Coturnix japonica: one gene and its partner. The protein of the gene in region 1 interacts with the protein of each later gene in a pairwise test. Links are inferred from orthologs where the notes say so. Each region holds a gene or a part of one and is shown in the gene's direction. Other genes may lie near its edges.

Evidence for each region. The genes of interacting proteins can lie anywhere in the genome.
Region 2: the proteins of AGR2 (region 1) and FABP2 interact in binary tests that used the Homo sapiens proteins (3 or more experiments, as listed by UniProt). The two-hybrid records come from large-scale screens. The link is inferred for Coturnix japonica from reciprocal best matches to the Homo sapiens genes AGR2 and FABP2.

Annotation. Positions count from the first base shown.
Region 1 is NC_029517.1:26,217,315-26,221,507, reverse strand, and holds the start of AGR2 (anterior gradient protein 2 homolog), read left to right. Parts: upstream 1-1,393; 5' UTR 1,394-1,505; intron 1,506-3,074; 5' UTR 3,075-3,082; coding exon 3,083-3,206; intron 3,207-3,293; coding exon 3,294-3,357; intron 3,358-3,439; coding exon 3,440-3,492; intron 3,493-3,733; coding exon 3,734-3,807; intron 3,808-4,193. UniProt on the Homo sapiens protein: Required for MUC2 post-transcriptional synthesis and secretion. May play a role in the production of mucus by intestinal cells. Proto-oncogene that may play a role in cell migration, cell differentiation and cell growth. Promotes cell adhesion.
Region 2 is NC_029519.1:48,992,599-48,996,771, forward strand, and holds the start of FABP2 (fatty acid-binding protein, intestinal), read left to right. Parts: upstream 1-1,373; 5' UTR 1,374-1,418; coding exon 1,419-1,485; intron 1,486-2,152; coding exon 2,153-2,325; intron 2,326-2,879; coding exon 2,880-2,987; intron 2,988-3,839; coding exon 3,840-3,890; 3' UTR 3,891-4,173. UniProt on the Homo sapiens protein: FABPs are thought to play a role in the intracellular transport of long-chain fatty acids and their acyl-CoA esters. FABP2 is probably involved in triglyceride-rich lipoprotein synthesis.

The DNA of each region.
Region 1 (4,193 bases):
CATCTTCTGAAAACAGAAGAAAGCAAAGGTACAAAATAAATAGAAATTCACCGGAGGCTGGAGCCAAGGTGCGTATATGCGTTCAGTTTTGAGAATGCAGTTTTACACAACATTCATTTTCGCTCCAAGTGCATGAATAGAAGCCTACCTGCACATTAGCTTACTTAACCAGAGAATAACAAAAACTTCTGTTAGAGACTTAAAACTGCCAGGTGGTATCAGGTGCAGACTGAAAGGACAGTCAGTAAGAGTGCACTAAGTTCTACTTGTCTAAGACCAAGATTTTAGTCATGAGTACCCAATCTTTGACTTTTTACTCCTTGATGAGACTGCAGATGACATAAACCACACAGAAATGGGCATTACAGTGACTGACCTCCCTGGGAGGTCACTTTCCATACACCAAGCACATAAGCAAAGCATGGTACTGCTGTACATGCCAAAGTAAAAACAGATGCTTCTTACCCCATATTCCCAATCACCCTTTACAAAAGATTTTTTAAAAGTGATCCAAAGCACTATTTTCTCTTAAGTATATTCATGCCATGAACTGCCATCAGAGAGCAGTGTAGATCTCAGATAGTAAGTCCATGCATCACATTCAGCCCTCACCATGAACCTGTAGTTTCAATCACACTAGAACACAGGAGGCCTGCACCTAGAGGAACACATTTTTGTTTCAGTCAGTTGTGCCAAACACCCTCTCATCACACTGAGGAAGGAGCTGAGTAGGCCCTGCAGCACTAAGATGGATGCGTGGGAGAGTTCTGCCTCACTATACAAGTATCTGAAACCCAAAAAGGATGGTTTTCATGATGTATGTGTCCACACAACTAATTAAACACGGAATTTAAATTAAACTCTTATTTAAGCCTCAGCTTATGAACACACTTAGACCTGTACACCTGTGCCTGTTACACCTGTAGCTACAAAACACCTCCCTGCTGAGAGCTTTATAACCATTCTCTAGCATTTCATTAAACTTTTCTTGTGTGGTGCTATTTGTGCATGTATACATACACGTATAACGCACACAGTTAATTACCTAATTAACATCTGGAGCTCTGAGTCACCAATTTCACTTTTTCAGAGGAATAAAGGAACGGTGACCGACCCATGTGCGTTTTCCAGCCAATCAAAAAAAGACAAATCACTCCTCAGGCAAATCAGGAGTCTCAACTTAAGCTTACCTGGACTTGGATCTTTGCCAGCATTTTTAAATCACTTTCCTAAATGTTCTAAAAAGCCCCCAGAAACATCTCTGAGCTTTACAGTCAATGCAGGGCAGGAAAGTGTGGTATGAATTCATAACAAAATTAACCCTGCACGCTTTGGTAGGAGAAAGATTGGCAAGTGTAGCTCTTTGGAAATAGTATTCAAATTCAAAGCTCATGGGTGGAGACGGGGAGTGCAAAGGTGCATAAATAGGCAGGAGGGAGCGTGGTGCTCTCACTGTGACCAGGAACACCTTCGCACCCCAGCAGGCACCTGGCTGAGCACACACGGTAAGGCAGCGCTCACTCTTCGGAACTACCTGCGTAACACTGGGCTAATTGGGGCTACAGCCATGGGAAGGAGAGGCAGCAGTGTGGGCACAGCACAGCTCCTAGCCATTAGGATACACAGATATGTTGTCTTTGCAAGTTAGAAGGCGTAGGAAAAAAGGGGGGCTTTATGGAGCAGAAAACTAAGCAGAAGTGCACACAGCCTTCCAAAGGGGAAGTTTTCAAAGAGGAGGTTTAGTGTTTCTGTCTTGGCTTTCTGCACCAGTAACAGTGTAAACTTTGCATTCCTATAAACCTTTGACTTCCTGGTCATCCAATACCTTTTCTTTTTTTCTTCCTCTTTTCAGTAAGCATTACTTCCTCTACACAGCTACAGCCAAAACAACACAAGGTAGCCTTGAAAATCCATGATATGTAATGTAAACTTATTCAATTCTTTCCCTTTCCAAGGGGACTTTTCCTGGGACAGATAGTCTCCTGCAAAATCCTATTTCATTCGCTTGAAATCTACTCTGTGGTTGCTTAGAGGTCTGTTGGACACCTTGCAGTTAAGAGCATTGTTTCACTGATGCAGATTCAGCTAATGCCTCCTCCTGCACTTCTTACCCAGAGAAAAGATTCTGTTTTTCCTCAGACTTCTCATTTTCATTGTATTTTAAAAGCTGTCTGTTTAAATGTTTTTTGCATGAATGTTCTGAATTTTCTGTATTGGTTTTGGAATTCCTTACGACTTCCTACCGTACTCAATATACTGCTATTTCAGTTTTAGGAATAAGCTTAATGAGAAAAATATAGGGTCATGCAAAGGATTTTCCCCCTTCAAAGCATCACAGCTGAAATGCTGAGCAGCTTCCATCAGTCATGCCTCATCTCCACCCCCATGCCTTAGTCAGGTGCAGGACAAGCAGTTTGCTTTGTGCTGCTTATAATGGCAAAATGCACTTTAGTTCTCACTGCTCCCCACTCATTCTATTGTAGATTCGACTGCTTTTCAGGATTAGATGATGCTAATGAGAAAGGACAGGATGTAAAGTTTCAATAGCAGCTTTCGGCTGTGTCTGTGTAATGCATTACTGTCAAACCCAGCTTAGACTTCTACATCTCATTTGAGTTGCTCTTGCTGCAAAACAGATGAAGAGCCCACACAAGTTAATTTGTCAACACCCATGCTGTTAAACTGCCCAGTTACTTTATCAGTGGGAGATCCAGAGAGAAATGGGAGTTGATTAGGACTTAGAATTACTATTGAAATCGATAAAACTCTGTTGTTTCACTGAGCAAACTCAATATATGTAAAAGGAACAAAGAGAAACTTAACACAGGTGCACATCTTAATAAGACCACAGGTCAGTGGCACCAACACAGCAGAAAGCAGCCAAATCCTTCATGACCCTTAGCTAAGCAAAGCTTAGCAAACCTCTCCCTTCCCTTACACTCCCCCAAGCCTCCACCTGGAGCAGGCAGCTGACTCACCCAGCTGCATACCTGACCACGGCGGTGCCTCGGGCTGCACCTCAGAACCAGCAGCAGGGAGGGACAGAGAAATGAAGGCTCTCTTCCTCATCCCAGGGGCAGCCATGGAGAAGAGCTACGTGTCCGTGTTCCTGCTGCTCGTGGCCATCTCCTGTGTTCTGGCAAAAGATATAGGCAAGAAGGAGACGAAGGAGACTAAACCAAAACTGCCTCAAACACTCTCCAGAGGTAAAAATATATATAGATAGATAGATAGATACCACAGGTCCCACTTGTATGTATGTGACGTTTTCCTACCCTCTCCTTTCCCTGCAGGCTGGGGGGACCAGCTCATCTGGACTCAGACGTACGAGGAAGCTCTATTCCGCTCAAAGAACAGGTAGGGCAACCCCTCGCTGCAGCACTCCCTACCGGCCACCCCGCACACCACCCCGCTAACCAGGCTCCTTCCTCTCCCCCAGCAACAAGCCCCTGATGATTATCCACCACCTGGATGACTGCCCACACAGCCAAGGTGAGGCTTCTGTGCACAAAAGGGAAAAAGAAAAGGAGACACGCTTTGTACCACCACGCTCGCTCTTTACCACAGAACAAAACGGAGTTAATCATCCATCAGTGCAATGGAGAGAGCGATTTTTATTAGCTGTAACTGTGAACTTCATATTCTCACATATCAATTTGTTTAAATTTTCTTCTCTAGGGCAATATTACATGCTTTCTTTTTTAATTATCATTGCTCATTGCTTTCATTCTAGCACTCAAGAAGGTCTTTGCTGAACATAAGGAAATACAGAAACTGGCTGAAAAATTCATTCTCCTGAACCTTGTGGTGAGTGTCCCTTTCACACTTCAGGTGAAAGCAATAAAGTTTTACTTATGATTATGGCTCTTCTAGCTCTAAGTAGACACTTTTATAGCAGGGATTGGCGAGGAAAAACGCTCAGTGCTGGAGCATAATAGATTTAGTAATAAAGCTCTTACATCTCCAGCTCCCATAACTACTAAATAGGAAGGTATTTAAATTTTAATGTATTGCTGCCATTAACTGTTATCATCAGTTCCCAACTCTAGCAGCTTAAAGGTTGTATCCCAGGCAGTGGATTTCTGGAATGGTTAACATATTGCTTAGCTTGCATTAATTACCCTGAGCATAAAGAAGAAAACATCCATGTTACATGCTGTCTTGCAATCTTGACCTGGAATCACATCTGCTTT
Region 2 (4,173 bases), on another chromosome or scaffold:
GTATAGGCAGAACAGGAGGTGTTTGCAACTAAACAGACCAGTTTGTACCACATTCAATCTTCTGGGAGACCAAAAGGTCTGGAAAACAAATGAACTCTGGTGCATGGTCAGTAGCAGCCCATTTTGAGTGCAACTACTTCAACTTTGTTTGTAACAATAATCTATGTTGTTTTCTTTTCCTCTTCCCTTAACTTCTGTACAGCCTAAAGGTGAGGAGTAGCCATTGAGTTACTTCCCCCTGCATCCTGTAAGCCAGATTAGCATTGATTTCAAAGTGAACCTGTGTGGAATGGAAAGCCACATCATTTTGGTATCACTAGCAAAATTCTAAATTTATGGTTACACTTCAGTAAAACATTTTGCTGCGGATCTGGAAGAAAAAGAAGATTATGATAACACCACACTAGTAAAATTCGTTAGAGCACAACCCTGTTAACTGTGTGATGAGCAAAATTCATTTCAGCATTCAGATTTACATTTATGTTTTGAAGCTAAGAGGCAGCAGATCTAGTGCCATCCATAGGAACAGGCTAACTATAATCCTGAATTCGGTACAAACAGATTTAGTACCAGAAAACTTGCTCAGTTTCAAACAGCACTATCTTATGGGGAAGAAAGAGCTAAGCCAGCGTGCGCTCATTTTCTGCATTATCTATCCTTCAATACTTAAAACCTGGGATCTACGGAAATCAACCATGTTGGATAAAATTCACTTAGCGGCACGTCAACTACTGTAGGAATGGACAGTAACAGAGCATTCACTGAACAGGCTATAGTATAGAGAATACACAGAAAGTGCCCTGAATTTAAACTACCTATTAAAGAGTGATGATATGAGTAGAGATTATAGCTCAGCACTAGACTAGAAAGGAGCAAATTGTTTCTGAAACTGAAGCAAGTTTTTGAAACCACCTGTGGGCATTCAATGGATCATTCATCTCATGCTTATTACATGGAGTCAAATAGATTCTCCCCAAATTAGAATGGAGATTTGTATTTGTTTTGCTGGGTAAATACATTTTCTCCAGTTGCACAAAGACTGTCCCACCAGCATAAAGTCCTATGCAACAAAGAAAATGTCAATACATTCTCCCAGTCTAATTATTACTTTCACTAGATAGACAGTTTTTTACTACAACTCAAATAAGATGAACACAATGAATGGGTTAGTGACTGTTTATAAAGAAGAGCAATAAAGATACTATCATTATTTGAGGCAATAAGGGAGGGAGAGATTCAACAGTGTGCTTACCAGTGAAAAAGTTAAACTACAGTGACCCCCTCCTTGACAAGATCAATGCCATGGTTGAGCTTTAGCCAGCCACATCATCATGTAAATTGCTTTCCTGATAAGCCAGTACATAAATTCTCTTTGCAAAGCTCTGCTACTTACCAAAAGTCTGCCTACGGACAGAAAGATGGCATTTAATGGAACTTGGAAAATTGAGAAAAATGAAAACTATGAAAAATTCATGGAAGCAATGGGTAAGCCTTACTTTTTGAATGCCTTTTAAAAGCAGGATACCACTATGGTGGAATACAAACTTAAGCTGCTCAGGAACTCCCATCTGGCTGACCTGTCTTTCGTTGTCTGCTGCTGTGCCCTTGCACACTGCCCTGCATTTATTTTCAAAAGACTCTACAGAGGGGAATGCAAGGTAGAAAAATACTCTGATTTTATTTGCGTTGTGATAATCGTATGCATTCAGCTAACTCCAGTAGAGGTACTTTAGTAGAATCTCTACATCTACATTTGTGGAAAAGGCTCAGAGAATTTGAATGGTAAACTTTAAATAGAATTATATGTAAGGAATAATATTTTCATAAGACTGTTTGAAAAATTACACAAGAAGGAAATTGCTGGTCTCCAGTTTTGCAGAACACACATGATTTGAGATATATTAACATGCCAGTGCTTACTTTAAGCTTGCACAAACTGCCTGTAATATGGATATAAACATAAGCATCCTAGTTGGATATTGGTTTGTATTACATGCTGCTGAACACTGCCTTGGTGAAAGGTGGAGAAGAGTAGGACCCTGAGTCAGAATCCTGGGCTGAGCTCCCTCAACTACAGAAAATGTCATGATATAAATGCTAATATGACGTTCTATTTTATTTTTCTCTGATTGATGCTAATTAATTTTTTTAGGTGTTAACATGATGAAAAGAAAGTTAGGAGCCCACGATAATCTGAAGCTCACTATTCAGCAAGATGGAAACAAATTTCTTGTCAAGGAATCGAGCAACTTCCGTACCATCGACATTGAATTCACTCTGGGAGTCAGCTTTGAATACAGTCTGGCTGATGGGACTGAACTTTCAGTAAGAGACTTTTGATATCAATGTGTATTCATTGGATAGCAATAACTTTACAAAGTACAGTTTCAGGATTAATGACTTGTTTTCCTAGGTTCTAGTTTAAACTTGGCTTTTAAGGTCAGGCAGTTCAGGAATGCTCGCACCTTATATATAAAGTCACAAATCAGCCCTAAATGTTAATGGTTCAGCATTGTGACAGGAAGCACAGGGATCCATTCAGTGCTCAAAAAACAGAGTATCCAGCAATTTCCATATGCTGAAATCCAGGCAATTGCAAACTTTACTTCTTATAATAGTCAAGTACACCACCTAGAATGTAGTGCGGGTATCTGTAAGAAATTAACCATATCAACAGATAAAAGGATCACCTGAGCCTGACAAAAGAGCAACTGAATAAGCTGACTTCTTCTTTAATATTTCATTTTTTTTACAGCCTTTCCAATTGAGTCCTAAAAATCATTATTACACTGTTTTAATCTCACTCCTGCAGCCTTTAAATCAAATCAGTGCCGTATTTATTGCAAAACATTTGTGTTGTTTCTTTTTCCCCATCACAGGGTTCTTGGAACCTGGAAGGAAATAAACTCGTAGGAACGTTTACTAGAAAAGATAATGGAAAAGCACTCACAGCGTACAGAGAAATTGTAGGCAGTGAACTTGTACAGGTGAGTTGAGCAGTTGCTTATACACAATTTAAGAATACAATGAACTGAAAACATTCTCAGAGATACCTTGAAAGTCCAGTGTACTTTGCTCAAAACCAAATAGCCCCAGTTATCTTCAGATTAAATCCTCAAGTCTAGTAAAAGTATTAAAATTTAGAACTTTGTAATTTGGAACATAAAACTGGCAACGTGTGATTTCCTACCTGTGTGAGCTGTATCTTATCAACACATTGTGAAGTCTGTGAATACAAGCTGTATGTAGAAGCCACATACATACTATACACATTCTCCCTGAAGGCCCCATTTTTTTTTGCCTTCTAAAGACAAAGTACAGGAGTTTTCCCAAGGATAAGGTGCTCAGCAGCTGACACAGCAGGAAGCTAGAGACAAAAGAGAAACCTTCCATAGCTCTGTGACCAGCTGGTCACAAACTTCTTAAATAAATAACCCTCCCATGAACAGGTGTGAGATCTGAGATATAAGAACACAAGGGGCCAACTCTTTCTCACATTTCTAATAAACACAGGCACAAAGGTGACACTTGGGAATATGGCATTTCAACATTTTGGGAGTGGTTTTTTGTTGGTTTTGTGTTATTATTTGTTTTGTGTTTTTATTTGAAAGCTCCAAGAACTGTCCAGTGGTAGTTCAAATGTTTCCATAGAGAATTTAGGCCTACTGACAACAGGTTGCTTGCTTTCCTTCTGTTCCTTTCCTCAGAGCCCTTCCATGGGCTTTTAAGCCCCAAATGGCCACTCGACACAATTAATTAAACCACCTTTATCACAACACCTGTGCAACGAAATTTTATATGTTAGCAATGACTGATTTTTCTTCTTAATTTCTGAACAGACCTATGTGTACGAAGGAGTTGAAGCCAAGAGAATCTTCAAAAAGGAGTAAACACTTTAGCCAAAACAGCACTGGAATCAAAATCCTATTAAAAGAAAGACAATTTTTTCTACATATACTGTTTTGTTTGTTTGTTTGTTTGTTTTTTAAATCTCCTCACAGCAACTCCTAAGCTGTGATTATCCAGCCCTAATGAAAACACAACTTTACATTTAGTGTTTTACCTCTAAAAAATAATCCAGTTAAAATCTGAAGACTAAAATGTTACTTGTGGGAAGTCTTACCTGAGTAACCAAAGGCAGCCAAAACTATTTTCTATAATCAGAATATCAAT